Linked DNA regions of Rhinolophus ferrumequinum. The protein of the gene in region 2 purifies or fractionates together with the protein of the main gene of each other region. This does not show direct contact. Links are inferred from orthologs where the notes say so. Each region holds a gene or a part of one and is shown on either strand. Other genes may lie near its edges. The genes, in order: BTRC and GLI3.

Region 1 (8,970 bases), on a different chromosome or scaffold from region 2:
TCCTGAGGGTCAGAGTAACTGTGAAAAAGAAAATTAAATAAATAGAAGATCTTACATAATGTTCTGTCTCGCTTTAGCAAGGAAAAAAAATTCTTATCTGCTTCCTTTCTTTAAGGATTTAAACAGTATACAAATAATACAGAATAACAAGTGGTCTCTTGAAAGTTCATTTTCTAATATAGCAATAAAGAATTCTGACAACCATTCAAACAGAATTTTTATTCCACATCTATAAATCACTTCCAGTAATTTGTTATGGTGCACCTATTACAAAGATGAATCAAAAAAATGAATACAATATAAAACACTAATTTGTAATTTCATAGCCCAATACCTATACTGTATAAAAGTATCCCGAAAAGAAACTGAAGGCTAATGTAAATTGGGAACAGGTAAGGGATACAGAGAAACTCTGATAACTTTAAGAAGTGGTTTCAAATGTTCATCCAACCAGCTGGTAATCAACCTTACCAATTAAAAGCCCGTACACTGAAAAATCTGAGTATTTATTTTTAATGTAATTTCTTGCTTTTAGATATAATGCTTCTCAAGCAAATAAGAAAAGTTACTGAATCATTATTAATTCACCCAGTATTATGTGTAGAGTAACATTATTAAGGCAAGTCATGAAGGAGAGCATGTTCGTTCCTTGAGAAGTTAACCTCCGAAAAGAGATGCCTCTAAAGCAGTCCTAGTGTTAAAACCCACAATATGGCTGATCCCATTTGTATGTTTAGCCTGGACATCCACCTAGAATAGCATCTATGGTAGCCAGTCTCAAAAGGGCATACCCACCCCCAAGCAACGTCCCCCTGTGTTACGCACGCCACTGTGCATGTCTGCAGGTGGAGATTACTGCCCCTCCCTCTGACGCAGGGCTGGCCCTTGACTATCTTTGGCCAATAGCGACCTTCTCAGACTTTCAAACCTAGGACTTGAAAGAACTGGCTCATTGCCTTCTATTTCCTATCTCCTTGAATGCTCCTCCTCAGAGCGCGGGACCATGCTCTATGGAAATCCAAAGGCCGGGTGGAGAGAGGAGGCCCCAAAAAGGAGGCCTGGAGGCCTTTAGAGCCAGCTGAACTCAGTCAGCCGCCAGCCCCGGGAGTGTGGCCATTTTGAACATTCCAATCCTGCGGGTGCCCCTGCCAACACCAAGGAAAGCAGAAAACCCATCAGTCAACCACAGATTTGAAAGAAATAATTAACTGGGTTTTTCTCAGCTACTAAATTTTGGGGTGCTTCGTTATACAGCAAGTTATCTTTATACAGTTTCACTTATCTATCAACTGTATAAAAAACTCTTTTATATGCCCTAAATTATTTCATCCAAGTTTCAAATGTTTCCCCAGTTCTAACATTCTGGAACTGGTTTACCCTGTCCATTTTCTTAAATAAATTTAAAATTCATCCCTCAACTTGCTTTTCCATTTTTTTATATATATATATATATATATATATATATATATATATATATATATAGTTTTGTGTTTTTTTTAACTATATCTCTCCTATATGGTGCCTACATTCCCTCAATTATTTTCATTTCTCTTCTCAGGTCCTCTCCCAGTTCCCAATTATCTTTTCTGAGGAATTATAATTTTGTTGACCAAGGAAGTATTAGGAAAGATCCTTGAGGACCTGCTAAAGCTGAATGAGAGATATTAGCATATAGGTTATTTAACGTAAACTACTTCTTTAATATCATTTGTTTCTAGAAGTTAAACTACTTTTCACAAGTATCCAAGCATAAACTTTTAAATCTAGACCACATGCGAATTATGGGCAAGTCTGAATTAGCAGTCTCATTAATAAGATTCTATTGCAAAATTCCTAACTGAAGCACTACATTAATGTGGTAATGAGCAAAATACGTAAAAGGGAATATCCATTTCATCTTGGTATTTTTAACAAACTGCATTTTCTTAAACTATGGAAGTCAGGGCATCCACACAAAAACTGTCATTCATAATTCACAACTGAGGGAAAGATAAGGCCAAAACAAAGCCATACACTCTATATAATTATCAATTTGATTAAAAGCATAGCCCTTCCATGTGTATTGTGTACTAATCACTTGGTGCAAGCACAAATAAAATATCTTCCTATCTCAAAATTGACTCCAAGTAAACAGACATGTTACAAAGCAGGGTAAATGGGACCAAAGGCAAGTTGAGACTTACTCAGATTCATAATAAGGCTGTTACTGAGCTGAAAAAGAATACCAAATCTCTAACTCTCCATTCTCTGCTTCAGTTATTAAGGTGACATTCTTGGTGACCTTCTTTCAGTTGGCCTTTTCTCAAACAGCAGCCACAATAGCAGGCAAGGTCAAAAATAAAAGTAACTAAAGAAAAAACTGGCTTCTCTCTCTGGAAACTGACTCAACATTTAATAACACGTGGTGCCCTAAAAGCTGCAAACTACTACATGGCCATCTCCAGATCCACTTTAACTGAATCTGACCATTATCGAAATACAACTCACTGGTACAAAGCAGGGATCAAGTAGTTGAGAATATTCCTAGACTGAGGTCTGATTGAGAATAGATGATCTCATAATGTCTCTTTATGATCTGTAAATCACACTATTCCATAAAACTAACAGAAGTGTCAAGATTAGGATTAAGTCAACCTCTAAGGAGGAAAATAAAAATAAGCATCTGCCACTTTTCTGACTTCAATATAGAAGCTGGCTATAGATATAAAGCAACTTCCTCTTACTTTTGAAGTCCAAAAAATGTCAAAGTCTTGTCTTAATATTTTAGAATTTCAACATTGGGTACAAACTCAAGAACCTTTTCCAACATGGAATTTTGTTGATAATACACTCAAGCTTTAGTTAGGTGTTTTCGAAAGCACTAACACAAAATAAAGTTTTAGTAAATCTGACCAGTCTCTGAAAATGTATTCTTGTAAATAGGGCCGGTTAAAGACTAAATGGAATTAGGTTAGTGTCCATGTTTATTTAGATTTATTTTGGTTTTTCAGGCAAAGACACAAAATAACAACTAAGAAGTAAGATTTGTAGTGACAGGTTACAATTACTTCTGAAAAGGTATTGACTGCAAATAATATCAATGCCCCTAAGGCCACCTGTTAAGGTAGAAGTCTATGCATCCCATCATTCTTTAGCTGTAACCATAAAGTCTGGTTTTACACCTAGGATATACAAGAAGCATCAGATTAAAAGCATCAAATATCAGACTATAAAAAATTGCCAAACATAAACATAGAAAAAAAGCATGACACAAAGTTTAAAAACTGGGCTCCAAAGGATTTAAACACACCCACAAAATTCAATCCAAGCTCCTGATGTGTGCTTCAACCTAAAACTGATAAGTAACCACCAATCGTGACATCTCCCATTTCCCATTACTGACATTCCCTCTTTTATCTCCTGAATTTCTCCACTGATCTCATCACTCACAGGTCTTGTGATTCTAATCTCCACCGCCTTTCCTTTCCCAGAAAGTGATATAGCGCCTGGCCCCCACTTTACTATCTCTACAATTTAGCACTTTTGTTTTGTTTTAACCCTATTAATATTAATTTGCCCCCAATCTCGTGTAACCCAGGTTTCCTTGACCAATCAACCTCTTGCTTTTCATCTCCTCATCCTTACTACAATATTTGGCCTCTCCTTTCAAAGTAGAATGTGTACCCCCTTTTCTGACATCTGTAATTCTGGCTCATAGTCAACACCCCCCTTCCTTTCCCAGAGACTGTCACCATAACCCTAGATCCCCATCCCCAGTTCTTATTTTCCTAAGACCTCTTCCTTTCCAGAGTTTGCCAACATTAGTTTGGCCAAGCTGGGATTGCACCCTGAAGGTAAAGGCTATTTCTACGCCCTCATTTTATAAAACTACAAGTCTCGCACCAGCCCTGGCTTTCCTCCACCCTCAGATCCATCTGCATCCAGCCCTGCCGGTCCCCCTCCCCCCAATCTCTTTCCTCCCACTATTCCGCGCTCCCCTTCCCCACTCCTGAATGCACCTCTTCTCCCAAGCCTTACCCGTGACCCTGGCACTGGAAAGGCCCTGCCAGCGGCCTCACCGCGTCTCCCCTTCGAGCACTTCAGTAACTGTCCCCACGCCCCTTTCCCTCCAGGGCCCCGCGCGCCGCCCGGAGCCCCCTCCCCGATTAAGCTCCCGCTGTCACTTGGCCTCTCATCCACAAGATGGCGGAGCTGCTGCCCCCACCCCGGGTGCTCTCCACCACCCCCTCCCGCCTCCCTGGAGCTCCTGTCCCGTCCCCTTCAGCAGCCCCCGCTGCCGGCCTCGGCCCACAGTCCCGCTGCCCCCTCCTCCGGCGGACAAGCTGTCCAGGCCCGAGCCTCAGCGATGCCGCCAACGCCACCGCCAACACCATTCCCCGGCCTGCACCTTCTCCTCACCATAAACTTGAGCGCTTTTTCCTGCAGCACCGCCTCGGCCGGGTCCATAATCGCCGGGGGCCACTGGGTCTGCACTCCGCCGGGGCCGCCCCCTTGGTGCCAGGCCGCAGCCAACGCAGCGCCCGGATCCCGCCTCCTCTTTCTTCCCTCCGCCCTCTTACCTCTCAGGCACCCGCAGGGGGGCCAGGGGGGCCAGGGAGGACCGGCTATTTCGTGCGCATGCGTAAACCCACTGGCTCACTGGATTTGTAGTTCTGGAGCTTTACGCAGCAAAAAGTGAGGTCCCACCGCGAACTGCAACTCCCGCGGTTCACTGCGGCAGGGTCGCGGTGACTGACAAGCCAAATCTAGACAACTATCCTTCTAGTAGAGGAAATCAGCTGATGGGAATCGTAGTTTATAGCCTCGACAGGCTGAAAAACGGGAGGGGCAAGGGTGTCTCCGTGGTTACCAAAAGACGCCAGGGACCGCTTGCCTGGCATTTCATAGCAAGATGGCGACCAGTGCCTCAGCTGTAGCCCATTAATACTGGGAAACACTGTGAGGACTCTACAGAGTTCCTAAGACCTGCCTAACTGTGGTTTTAGAGAACTGGACACCCCTAAATTTCATATATTTGACCTCTGCGGGATGGATTTCGACCCAGAGGCGCTGGGCCTATAAGCATCTGGCCGCCCCTTACACAGACGAATGCAGAATTTCAAGGTCCTCCTAAGCAACACTTCTCCCGAGGACCTTATTCTCCCCCACACCAAGGCAGGGCCCAATAGAACTCGGTTCTGGAAATTCTCAGGGGGTTAGCACTCAGAAAGTTGAGCTGCTACTGCTAACCATGAGATGTAAGCCCTGCATTAAGGGTCAAACAAGTACTTACAAAGACCTTCAATAGTGGAACATAATGGCCATCCAGCAAATAAAGCATATAAGTATTTAGTTTGGCCTTGAAAGGGACAGTACAAGTTCATTTTGGAAACTGGGTCTACCCTAGATGGAAAAAACACTGGTCTAAAAATGATAGGGTTGTAAAAATAATAATAATAATCTGAATTTATAAAATAAGTGAATTGGGGAAATGCCTTTTCACTTATAAGAAAAACTTCCCTTATAAACTATTCATTCGCTAATTCAACAACAGTAAGCACATAACCATGTGGAGACATCGTTCCAAGAAATGGAGATTCTTGGATAGACCCAGTGAGCATGATAGACCCAGTCTTGTAGAGCTTGCATTTCTAATATGTTGATATTCTGTCCTAGTCATCCTTATGTATTGAACTCAGCACCATACCTAATACATAATAAGCTTTCAATCAATAAAAAGTTTACTCTTGAATTTTAAAAACAAATTCTACACAAGTGCAAAAATGTGGAAGACTTAAAACTCACTCAAATGAAAAATACCTGGAGGTTTTCATAGGACTAAGACAGTCTGTGACATGGTCACCAAAAAAGCTAAAGGAGGGCCGGCCGGGTGGCTCAGGTGGTTGAAGCCCAGTGCTCCTAATGCCCAAGTTGCTGGTTTGATTCCCACTTGGGCCAGTGAGCTGCGCCCTCTATAGCATTGTGAACAACAGTTCTCCCTGGAGCTGGGTTGCCCTGAGCAGCCGGAGGTTGGCATGAGCTACCACCTGCTGTCGTGTGCTTTGGAGAGTGGCCGGCAATGTGAGTGGCCGGCAACCATCCTGAGCTGCCCTCAGCTACTGTGGGCTGCCATGAGCAGTGGGCAGCTGGCCAGAGCTGCCTGTGAGCCGCTGTGAGCAGCGCACCAACGACAGGCGACCGACTGCCTCAGCCAGGGGGAACGCAAGGCTCATAATACCAGCATGGGCCAGGGAGCTGTGTCCTACACAGCTAGACTGAAAAATAACAGCTTGAACTAGAGTCAGGGGGCTGGGGGTGGGGAGGGATGAGGAAGAAGGGGGGGGGGAAGCCAAAGGAGTCCTAGGCAGCTTGAAGAGTGGTGTCTGGGAAATAGAGGCTTATGGTCTTACTCTGTTTTGAAGCACTCAGATCACACCTGGAGTACTTTGTTCAGTTACAGGCACCATGTTCTACAAACATCAGATGCAGGAGTATAGCCAAGAGAAGGATAACCAAAAGAGAAAATACTGATGGATGCTTACTCTGAAAAAAAGAACACTTAGGAATAACATGACAACTAAATTTAAGTATTCAAAAGTATTGAAAGGCATGTATATGTAGCACCATAAGGCAAACTAGGACCAATAGGTGGGATAATAATTATGATGATGATAACAACAGCTATCACTTTATTAGCTCTTTGTGCCAGGCACTGTAGTAGGCATTTTACATTCATAATCTCTAATATTCATAGTAACTCTGTAAAACTGATATTATCCTTAATGTACAGATGAAGTGAATGATACTGGTAGAAGATAAATAACTTGCTCAAGTCATGCAGCAAATTACATAGTTAGGATTCTAACTCAAGTCTGCTTGACTCCAAGGCCTGTGCTATTTTCACTGACTCACACTACAGTGACATAGGACTCAGACTCAGAGCTTTCTAGTAATCAGAGCTGTCCTGACAGAGGAATAGACTGCCCTATTTCTGAAAACATAGAGGCAGGATGACCATCTGTCAGGGGGGTTCAGTTTGGGTGGGAGGTTAAGATCTTTCAAACTCTAAGGTTTTATTCTTTTTAGAAGTCATTTGTTTTACTTTTTTATCCAGAGAGGAGGATGAAAATATTGCCTGATGAGGCTGGCAGTCAGTGGCAGTCCTCACTTTGTCCAGTCATGTAGAGGTCAGGATTAGTAAAACAAACACAAGGAGTTTTTGTTTAGAAGCCCAGCCAGCTAGACAGTTCATATGCATATGGATTGAAAGTAAGCTGGCAGGGGCTGGGTACACAAAGGGTAAGTCCTTTTTCTTGAAAATTGACCACTCATGGTCAGGCAAACAGAAATCCAAATGTGAATTGCCTTGATTTTCAAGCCTCTCGTATCCAACAAAGTTTAGGAAAGTTCATTGGACTAATAGTTAAGAGACCTGGTTCTAGCCCATCCTTTCTCCAGTTAATTGGTTGTATTTGTGCAATTAACTGAACCTCTCTGGTCCTCTCTTTTGTCATCTGGAAAACAAAGATCTCTGCCATCTCTAAAATGGGTGTACCTATGAGCCCGGCTTATGGTGCTTGTTCAAGGAGAAGACTGAATCATTAGAACCTTTAAAGTTCCACGTTACTGGAAAACTGGATTTCCAGTGTGAGAAATCTCAGGCTACTGCTGGACTTAATTTCTTCCATTAATTTCCTTGTTTAAGACCACAGGGTACTCTGGCTTAACCTTGTCTATTAGTGTCTGTATTCAGCCAATAATCTATCAAAATGTCTCTTTCAGCCTCCACCTCCAATGCAAGCCTGTTCCAGACTACCTGTTTTATCTTTGTTCTTAGTTCACTATAGTATTTATTCACTTCCCATCCAGTTCTCTGACTCCAGGCTCTCTCCATCCGCCTCATCTGACTTCACTTCCATCACATTTCTTCCCTGATCAATCCTTTTATGGCTCTCTTAACTACTTTATCATTGCTTAAATTCCTTTTTCTAGCTTTCCAGACCTTTCAAATCTTATCCAATCCTCCCTCTCTAGCCTTACTTCCCACTTGTTTTAATATAACCCTCTGCTCCAAATAGACTGTTCTCCTACTCCACGTGCTTAGCACACTCCTGCCTCCTGGCCTTAACTTATGGGAGTCATTTTACCATTCTAGAAGGCTTCCTTTTCCTCCTCTTTCCTACCCATCTTTCAAGGTCTGATTTAAATCTTACTTTTGAAAAATAGTTATCTATTGCCTTTTAGCACTACAGCCTGCCCTCCCCGCACAGGCAATGTTTATTTGTATGGGTCTTTCAAAATAAATATTGTTTTGTATGCTGCATTTTTTGTTGGAGGTGGTGTGCTACATTTACAATTCACAAATGTAATATTGTTTTATATATCTTACTATGTTTCATACCTTTTGCACCCAGTATCTATGATTTTAAGATCCATTCATGTTGCTATACGTACATCTAATCTGTTGCTTCTAACTGCTGAATAATAGTCTGATGGTGTGTAGCTCCCACATTCTACCTATCTACTCTCCCAGCAAAGCCTCCAATCACCCCCAATAAAGCTGTAGTGATCAACCTCCTACGTGATCCCTGAGCAACACTATCTTTGAGAATATTTACCGAAAAATCATACTTGCTGGTTCATAGACTATTAAGGATATTTAGTTGGACTATGTAATGTCAAACTGCAGTACAGAAAGACCACAACAGTCTATGCTTCCACCACACTACTCCACCACACTTGACATTGAGATTTTCGCTTTTTTTTTAAGCCAGTTTACACATTTTACCTTCTCTGGCAACACCCAATCCACAAGAATCATGCCCTCCTGCTCTTCTAACTCCCACCATCTCTGTAGTGTGTGCTTATAACACATAGCAGACTGGAGTCAGAAATATTCCACATCTGCCTGCACTTTTTTCTCATTGCATGGCATTCCCCTCTCCTATACCTGCTGGGGTTCTCAACTCTGATTGCACGTAAGAGTCATTT
Region 2 (8,752 bases):
TCCAAGCCAATTACAGCTACATCTCCAAGGTGAATAGCACCATAGCCAACATCTGGGTTACATTTATGATCCCAATGTTCCAGGAAGAGGGAAGAATGAGTTATGCGGGTGCTGAGTGAGAGACCCTTGGAAGGGCACCTGTGTGATGAACTTAAAAGCATTCTCCTCGCTGGCAACCAGCCAGTCAGCATGGGGAAGCTCAGGCCCAGCCCCTGCTCCACTGCAGGGAGTATGTCCTTCCCAGGCCATTTGGTGGCTGGGGATCTGCCTGCATCCCCCGGACTTTCCCTATATGCACACTGGCTAGTGGGTGCAGTGCACGCAGAACCAAGATGCCCAGGAAATGAGAGAGAGCAGCAGGAAACGTAAATGTGTCTAGAGTTGCCCTTAGCAACTCAAACCAGTGGCAGTGTAGGAATCAGAGGGAATCCAGAAGACAGCATTTTAGGAGAACAGGAGGTCATTGTAGGGAGATGGGGTGAGGGAGAGAGAGTGATGAGTTGGGTGACCCTGGGGTTTGGAACCTTGATTTTTGCTCTATCTCCTTTGTCAAGTTTCCTCTCTCTCGGTACTCACAGCAGTGAGATAACTCATAGTCAGGGCTGCCTGGCTTGGAGGGAGTTCGGCCTTCTCCAGCTGCTCCCACTCAGGGGTCAGGTCAGTTGAGGAAACATGCAGGAATGCAAGAAACCTTATTTTTGTTTTGGACGATAGTTCTCAAATGCAGCCCATACCATATTTCAATTCCCACCGTTTTTCAAAATGATGAGAATCCTTAGGGAACGACTGTCTTAACTGGCACCTACAAACTTCTGAAAGACATACATACACAGAGATGCTAAGGGTCCTAGTTTCAGCACTAATCTGCGTTCTCTGCTGTAATTCAGAAACATTTGAAATGTTGAGCAAGCTGGTTATGAAGTCTGCAAGGAATCTATGTATTTGCATGTCAGACTAAGGAGGCTCCTGGGAAATGCCTCACCATAAGTGCAAAGAGCATGCAGCAGAAAGGCTTACTCCAGTAGCAACCATTCTGTTAGGGCTGGTAGAGAACATTTGAATCCTTATAAGTGTTCACTACGTTAAGCTTGCAAGTTTGGGAACAATAGAGGATGGGTATCAATTCTTGAGTAAAGAAGCTCCTCAACTAATCAGCTATCTCCAGATGGAAAACTAGTAAGACACCTACACATAAGAAATGTGACTTGTAGGATGCACAAGTGATCTCAAATGGATTGAAGGCACCACCTCCCAAAAGATAACCCCATGATGGGAAAACAAAGCAAAGGTGACAGTCCTGCATTTACAGGAGGGAAGCAGCACAAAAGAGGAAGAAAACGGTGGCTATCATGTTTGGCTCTATAGAAGACTTGTTAATCGTGCACCTGCCAAGCAACTCTCCCTCTTGTCTGGTCAAGAGGAATATAGCATCCCCTAGGACGGGTAACGTTGCAAACAAATAACGCTGATTATGCAAAATGTAGCTGCTTCTGGCCACCTTCCTTGGTTGCATAAAGAAAGTTTGTCTGAAGTGTGAATGAAACGCAGCTGGAAGGTGGAAACTCAGCAGGCATTTGTTTGAGCCCCTGGATCCTGCCTTGCCTGCAGTCTGCCTATACACTTCTGGACTTCTCAGTCAGCAAAACACTCCTCCTCCCCCCTTTAAATTTAACTTGAGCCAATTTGAGTTGGAATTTTGTCATTTGCAGCTGGGAGTTTATCGGTACACATGAAATATCCCCTTGGGATTTTGCAATAATTAGTTGGGGGCTATTGTGCAGGGAGATGGAAGAGCTGCCGTGGTAAGTGAAGGCAAGAACGGTCATTATGTATAGCACACACAACCGGGCAAAAAAGTGCAGAGGAGCATGGGAAGTTTATTCTCAGCCCCATCCTTTGTCCTCTCAATTGCAGATCCTTCATTCTCCTTGTCTCTTTCAGTGTTGAATTGTTCAGGGTTGAATTGTGTCTCTACTCTCCCCCCAAAAAAGACATGCTGAAGTTCTAACTCCTGATTTAGAAACAGGGTTGTTGCTGACATACCTAGTTAAGATGAGGCCCTACTGGAGTAGACTGGGCTTCTAGGCCAATGTGACTGGTGCCCCTAGGAAGAGGAGAGACAAACGAAGAGAGAATGACTGTTTCCCAAGCTCAGTGACGATAGTTGCATAAGTTGGAGGGAAGTGGCTACCAGACACGAAACACCAAGGATTGACAGAAGTTAGGAAGAGGCAGGATCTTCCCCTAAAGGTTTCAGAGGGTGCGTGGTCCTGCTGAGACCTTGATTTTGGACTACTAGACTCCAGAACTGTGGGACAATAGATTTCTGTTGTTTTAAGCCACCTAGTTTGTGGCAGCCGTAGGAAATACAAATATCTTCACGTTTCTGACTTCATTCAATTTGGTGCCCCAAAAAAAAAAAATATCTGTCTTATAAGCTTAATCATTTTGAGGACTCATTATATAAAAATTTCCTAGGAGATTTGCATTTGAAAAGAGAACTGATGAGAGAGAGCAATAAATGACTCTATAATGGTGGAATTTTAGACATGGAGAAAGGGCAATCTCAGAGCCTTGTAGGTCTGTAAGTGCCCGTTTATCATTACAAGAGAGGTTCCAATATTGAGTTTCAGGGTGCCTTTTGGATTTTTAGAGATGTCTCAGGAGACCGCCACCCAACTGCAACCAGAGTAGTTCTCTTTTATGTTTTGGGGTTTCCATGTAAGATTTCATTTGGAAAAAGAGTTCTTGTGTCAAAATAGATTGAAAGTCATTGCATTATGTCACTATTTAACTCACACTAAGGCAAACCATATTTTTTGCCTTTGCCATTTCTGCAAAATGTACCCACTTACATACATGTTTACCACCAAAGCAGAGAGCTGTTAGTTCCCGCCAAGAATCTAAGGTGAGGAAATAGGGACACACAGCAGACACCACCATTATTCCTCTTTTGTTTTTAGCTATTCTGATGGACATATGGGGAAAGATTAGCTGCTTTTTCTTTACTCGTCTTTTTAAAACTGAGAAGCAAGATCTTCATGATCCAAAATCTGCTAGAAGACTGTTTTAAGTAAAAGTCAAAATATCGAGTTTATTCAAGTTGTTGATTTATTGGCTGTCTTTCTTTTTATTTATTTTTTGCCATTGGGTGAACAGAGGAGGCTATCAGGATGTATTCTTTGTATTCAGGTGACTGAGGCAGAAGCAGTACTTGAATACAAAAAAAAAAAAATTGTGACTGATGTTGGAGTTTACATAGGAAAGAGGGGCTTGCAATTCCCTGCAACTGCAAAAGTATAATTCTTACATATTTGTGTCTCTTTGTACTTTCACATGCATTATCTTATTGGAAACTCATATAAATCCTGGGAGGTATGTGGCCTGGTTTTCCTATTACCATCCCACAGATGGGATCTGAGCCTGTGGAGACTCACAGAATCCTTCAGGGCCTGAGATCAGTTAGTGAGGGGAAGCTGGGACAGCCACCCTTGTATCCTGAGACACTTGCTCTGTGCAGTAAGTGGTGGGTTTCCCTTCTTTCCTTCCTTCCTGCCTGCCTGCGTTTTAAGAGGGGTGAGGTAGAGAGAGGGAGAGAGAGAGGGAGAGAGAGAGAGAGAGAGAGAGACACGTCTTAAAATAAGTGCCTAAAAAAGACCTTCAGGCCTACTTTATCTCCACAACTTCTACCATGAATGCTTAAGTCAGAGGCGGCTTTTGTAGAGTCTTTAGAAAAGCAACAAGTCCCAGGAAACAAACAGTGAATACCATCATCAATTCCGTTAAAAAATTCTCCAGTTAAGCATTTGAATCTCAAAATGCTCTTCAAATCATAATAGCTAGTCATTCATCCACCCACTCTCTTCCTCAGTCAAGACACTCAGCGAGTCAACACAAGTGCACCCTGAGCTCCCAGGCGCTGCTGGCTGCGGACTGGTGGGTAGAGGCTCAGTTTACTTCAGGAGAATGAATTTTGGAATGTCACAGGGTTGTTTTCTTTCGTTCGTTTCCTTCCTTTGTTCCTCCTAATTTTTTTAAGTTCCAGGTCCAGGATGGGTACATTGAAAGGGAACAGATGTAGGCTGGCTGACTGAGGAAGGAGGGAAAATAATTTTTACTAGTATGGGCCACTGAAAATAAATCAGGGACAGAGACACTTTGTAGCTCAGGGAAAAGCACCACGTAGGAGTCCAGGCTCCAAGCCCGGGGTCTTTGTTTTTGTGTCCTTTATAAAGTGGCCCTTGGGGACAGCAGGCTGTGTAGTGGGAGTTCCCACTTCCCAGAATTGGCCCCAAGGGCAGATGAGACCGGCGGAGAGGAAAACCCTGAGCTTCCAAAAGCATCCTCTGGCGAGAGGGAGTTTCAGGGTTGGGTTATATGGTACAAGTAGAGGGGGAGCCAATGAGGGGTGTGCTCAGAGAGGCCTTAAAAGAAAAATGGGACCCAAACTGTGAGCGAGAGAAAAGGGAGCCGAGAGGCGGGGTGGGAGGCGATGCGCGCGGGCAGGATGCAGCCCCCGCGCGCGGGGAGCTGGGGTAGGGGCCGGCGAGGGCGTCCCAGCGGGGCTGCGAGAGCAAGCGGGGAGGGCAGCAGTGACATCACGCCCGGGCCCCCTTCCCTTCGCCGGGTGGGTGGGGCCTCGGCGCGCGGAGCGGGCGCGGGGTCAAGGAGGGGGAAGAGGAGGAGCAGGCATGAATGTGTCTGCGTGAGGACCCGAGAGAGGCGGAGGAGGTGGAGGAGGCGGAGGGGGGAGGGAGCGCGCGCGTGGCTCCCGGCGCCCCGGCTACCCCCAGTCCCCTACCTCGGCCCGCGCCGCGCCGCCTCCTGTGCAGCACCGCCCGCATCGCAGCTGGGACCCGCTCCGGGCACGGCGACCCGGCGCGGCCTGGAAGGAGCGAGAAAGCAAAAGTAAGGCAAGCTGTACTCCAAGTTTTCCCAACTTCGCCCCCTGCGGCGGCAGGCGTCCAGCTGCTCGGCGCGTCCCCACGGCGCTAGAGAGTGGCAGAAAGAAAAGGGACCGGGCGGGGGCGGGGGCGGAGGAAGAGAGCGCGCGGGTGAGGGGAGAGTCCGGCAACATCTGTTAAAACTTGGGGGAGGAGGAGCGCGGGCAGGAGGAGGAGGAAGAGGAGAGGAGGGAAAGAGGGAGCGCGAGGGAGGGACGCGTAGAACCGAGGGACAACTTTTCCACCGCGTGAGTAGCGCGGGCTGCGCTGGGCCGGGGTGGGGGGCTCTTCCACCCGCGCGGGTCTCCAGGCCGGGATGGGACCTTCTTCCAGAAAGTCGATTGGATGCCAGGAGGGGCTTACGGTGGGGGCTTTCTTTCTTTCTCTTTCCCCTCCCTCCCGCGGGTGAACCAAATCAGAACTGTCACTCAGGGCCTGTGAGTCAGAAGGGATCGGATTACAAGATCCCTGAAACCGATGCCGGAGCTGCACGAGCGGGCGGGAGCGGGCAGGGGCAGCGCCACCGGCGCGCTCGCACACTCGCCGTCGCGCATACTCGCCTCCCCGACTCGCCCTCCCTACGCGCCCCGCGGCCGCCCGCGCCGCACCATGCCCACGGCCGGCGCTCCTCGCGCCCAGCCCCTCCGATCGCCGTAGTCCGAGCCGCCTGCGTGTCGCGGAGCCGGGAGCCACCCGCCCGCATCCCAGACGTGGGTCTATGGGAAGTTTGGGGACTTGACAGCCGCCGCTGCCGCAGGTACGTCCCACCCAAAGTTCTTTGTTTCGTTGGCCGCGCGTCGGGCAGCCTGCTCCTGCGGTCGTGCGGGCGCCTCCAGGTCGAGAGGGGTTCCCCGATAGGGGGAACCGGAGAAAGTGAAAATGGCTGTCAAAAGCGCCCAGATTTAGAGAGCAACCCCGTAAGGCGTCAGATCAAGGCTTTCATTCGCTTACTCCTTGAAGCTCCCTTTCCAAGTGTCTGCCCCCTCGGCCATCGGGAGACGGGCTGGAAAATTGCACATCCTGGATGGGGACGAAGTTTGCAGCAGCGACGACGGCGCCCCTCGTACCCACTCCCCACCCAAAGGGTGAAGAGGAGCTAGGTTAGGTTAGACCTCTAAAGCTCGGGCGTCTGCCTGCGCACTGTTGCGTCCTCCTTCGGTTCCCCGCGCGGCGTACTGCGGGCGGGTCCGCGCGGGGTTCGCGGCTGCGGGGTTTCCTCTAGCTTGAGCTTCCCTTCGGAGGGCGGGGGAGCGGTGTGCGCCCAGGGACAGGCGCGCCTCCGCCGTAATAGAGGAAAAGTGAAAGTCGTACCATCTGTGTATGATTTGGAATTCTTTCATTTCTTTTTCTTTCCAGGGACAGCACACACACACACACACACACAAAGACATAACAGAAAACAAAAGAAATAAAAGCGTTAGAAGCTGCAGGGAGTGAATGCGGGAGTGTGGGTAACCGTGGCCCCTGCAATAATAATTTAAGAGGCCGAATTTTCACAGAGCAGAACTGTGTATGAATCACTCTGCAGGGGACAGTTACTTTGAGTTGCCGAGGGAAAATGGGAGGGAGGAGGTCGAGAGGGAGTAAATATTTACCCCAAAGTTGGAGACTTTGTGAAACGACTTTTAAGCAGATTGCCAGAGGCCAAAGCACCACTGCACACCCGGGCCTTTTATCCTTCCCAGAACTTTGTGCTCCTGTCCCTGATTGCACCTCCTTCAGGAGTTGCCACCCCTAGAGAGGCTGGACCCAGGCTTCCCTTGCTGACCCCGTGTAGAAAGAGGCTTAAGGAGGCAGCCACCTCGCACTCTTCTGCCCCCACTTCTCATGTCCCTGATGTGCGGTGCCGAAGAGATTCTGGCCTTGGGTGCAGTGCTCGTGGCCCACTGCCAGTTTATATGTACATGTATTTATGTAAAACATTTTCTCCCAGCTCCTTGCCAGCTGTTCCACATTTTCCAGCTGCCATTTCAGTTTGAAATGATGGACTGTCCGCATCTCCCAAGTAAAAGAGCCCTGTAGTCAGAGGTGTGGGGCCACAAAAAATAATTTTTCCTCCCATCTTCTGAGTTCTAGCTGGGCTAATAAATTAACATGAGAGAGATCAACAGGGAAGAGTGTCCAAAATTTATCACGGATGTTCATGCCGGGGTGCCATCAGAATATGAGGCCTGAGGATACATTGGGCTTTGAGGTTTCTATGCCATTCTGGACAAAGGAGAGGGAAGCAGGGGTCTGGGATTTCAAAGGGAACGTGGGCAGTTTACAGGTAGATGAGAAAGAGCAAACATGTGGTAAACAAACTCTTGCTGGGCCACCCAGAAACAATAGGACATAGAGAGAAGTCCAACAAACAGGCTTGGCTAGATTTCTCCCTCTCTGCCACATTGAGTTTAGAATCTGACGCTAAGGTGATGCTCCTATCCTTTAAGCAGGTTTTTCTGTCTGAATTCCTTTAGGCAGGCAAGGGGAGGGTTCTTTCTGAATCTTTTGTTTCGTAATAAATTACCATTAAAAGTCAATATCCCCAAAGGCGTATTTTGGGGTGGGAAAAATTTGGTCCCCCTCAAAGGTATGGAGGGCAGGCCGTTGTGCAAAGTCATGGGCAGGGCCATTAGTCTGACTGATAGTAGTTCTGAAAAAAAACACTTCTGCTCTCCTTTTCCTTTCCTCCTCCCCCCCAATTCTTTCCAGAGCACTTTTCTGGAAATTCACAATAAGTCGGCTTTTCCCCCCACATGTGATTTTGTACAGAATTTGGATGAGTCCTTTTTTTCTTGAAGATCCCTGAAATATGTGTATGCTGCTAGAAATAAATTAACTTTTAAAAAGAGTTTGAGTGTGTTGGGCATGGCTGGTGGGGTCGCCTCTGCCTTGGGCAGCTGAAATGATTTCATTTCAGTCTATTTAAGGTAGGAACTATTCATTCTTCCCGTTTTACGCTTTTTGTGTTGTTTGATGTCTTAGCGTATTATAGACTGAAATCTTCAAGAATTGGCCTAAAGTATTAATTTTGACTATTTATGTAATTGCTCTGTAATTTGAATAGGTGCCTTATTGATTGATTCTGGTAATTATTTCATTTAGGTTTTAAATTAAAAATTAATAATAGTCTGACAGTTTCTTAATTACATGTGTCAAGATTATTTTGAAGGAGGAAAATGCTATGTTTTAAAGTAGTGAAATATCCTCAAAATCTCCTCATTTTTCGAAAGCATAACAGTATTTCAGTTGAATATATTAAGGCAGTGGTGATAGGTCTTAACAATGTAAACTGTGTGAAGTATCTAAAGAATTTGTTTATGTTAGGAAATACTGGTCTTAACCTGGTACATAAACACTTTGGCCAGTTATAGTCAGACCTAAAACAAACATGAAATAACATTTAAATTAGTTGTAATAGCCAGCATACTTATAGAGAGAAGAGAATTTATTTTATGCTAAAAGCTATTTAATTAGAAACTCCCTGCCTAAGGGCAGATCCTTTCAAGATATGTAATTCTTAAAGTTAGCCTAGGGAAGCTTTGGTTTCGGATGCTTGAATGAGTCCAACTTGAGAGGTGTCTTATGAAGTACTTTAAAAGGTATAGATTATGTTATAATTAATAGGTTAGTAGGTCCAACTCGATGTCTACCTTTAACGTGTTTGTATTTCTTGATTGAACCCTGCTATCAACACGTTTTATTGTATGTCTGATTTGCAGAAAACTACACACACAAATGAGAAAATGAGTACTGATGAAAAATGGCTCTGTTGAGTTATTTCATTACTTATTTAATAAAAGAGTCATTAATTTATCATTTGATGC

What was found.
Region 1: the proteins of GLI3 (region 2) and BTRC purify together in Homo sapiens (affinity purification with western blotting, with the first as the bait; 3 studies listed by BioGRID). This does not show direct contact. The link is inferred for Rhinolophus ferrumequinum from reciprocal best matches to the Homo sapiens genes GLI3 and BTRC.

The regions. Positions count from the first base shown.
Region 1 is NC_046299.1:23,421,001-23,429,970, forward strand, and holds the start of BTRC (F-box/WD repeat-containing protein 1A), read right to left. Parts: upstream 4,582-8,970; 5' UTR 4,447-4,581; coding exon 4,399-4,446; intron 4,083-4,398; exon of another isoform or gene 4,018-4,082; intron 1-4,017. UniProt on the Homo sapiens protein: Substrate recognition component of a SCF (SKP1-CUL1-F-box protein) E3 ubiquitin-protein ligase complex which mediates the ubiquitination and subsequent proteasomal degradation of target proteins. Recognizes and binds to phosphorylated target proteins.
Region 2 is NC_046303.1:55,777,541-55,786,292, reverse strand, and holds the start of GLI3 (transcriptional activator GLI3), read left to right. Parts: upstream 1-5,128; 5' UTR 5,129-5,191; intron 5,192-8,752. UniProt on the Homo sapiens protein: Has a dual function as a transcriptional activator and a repressor of the sonic hedgehog (Shh) pathway, and plays a role in limb development.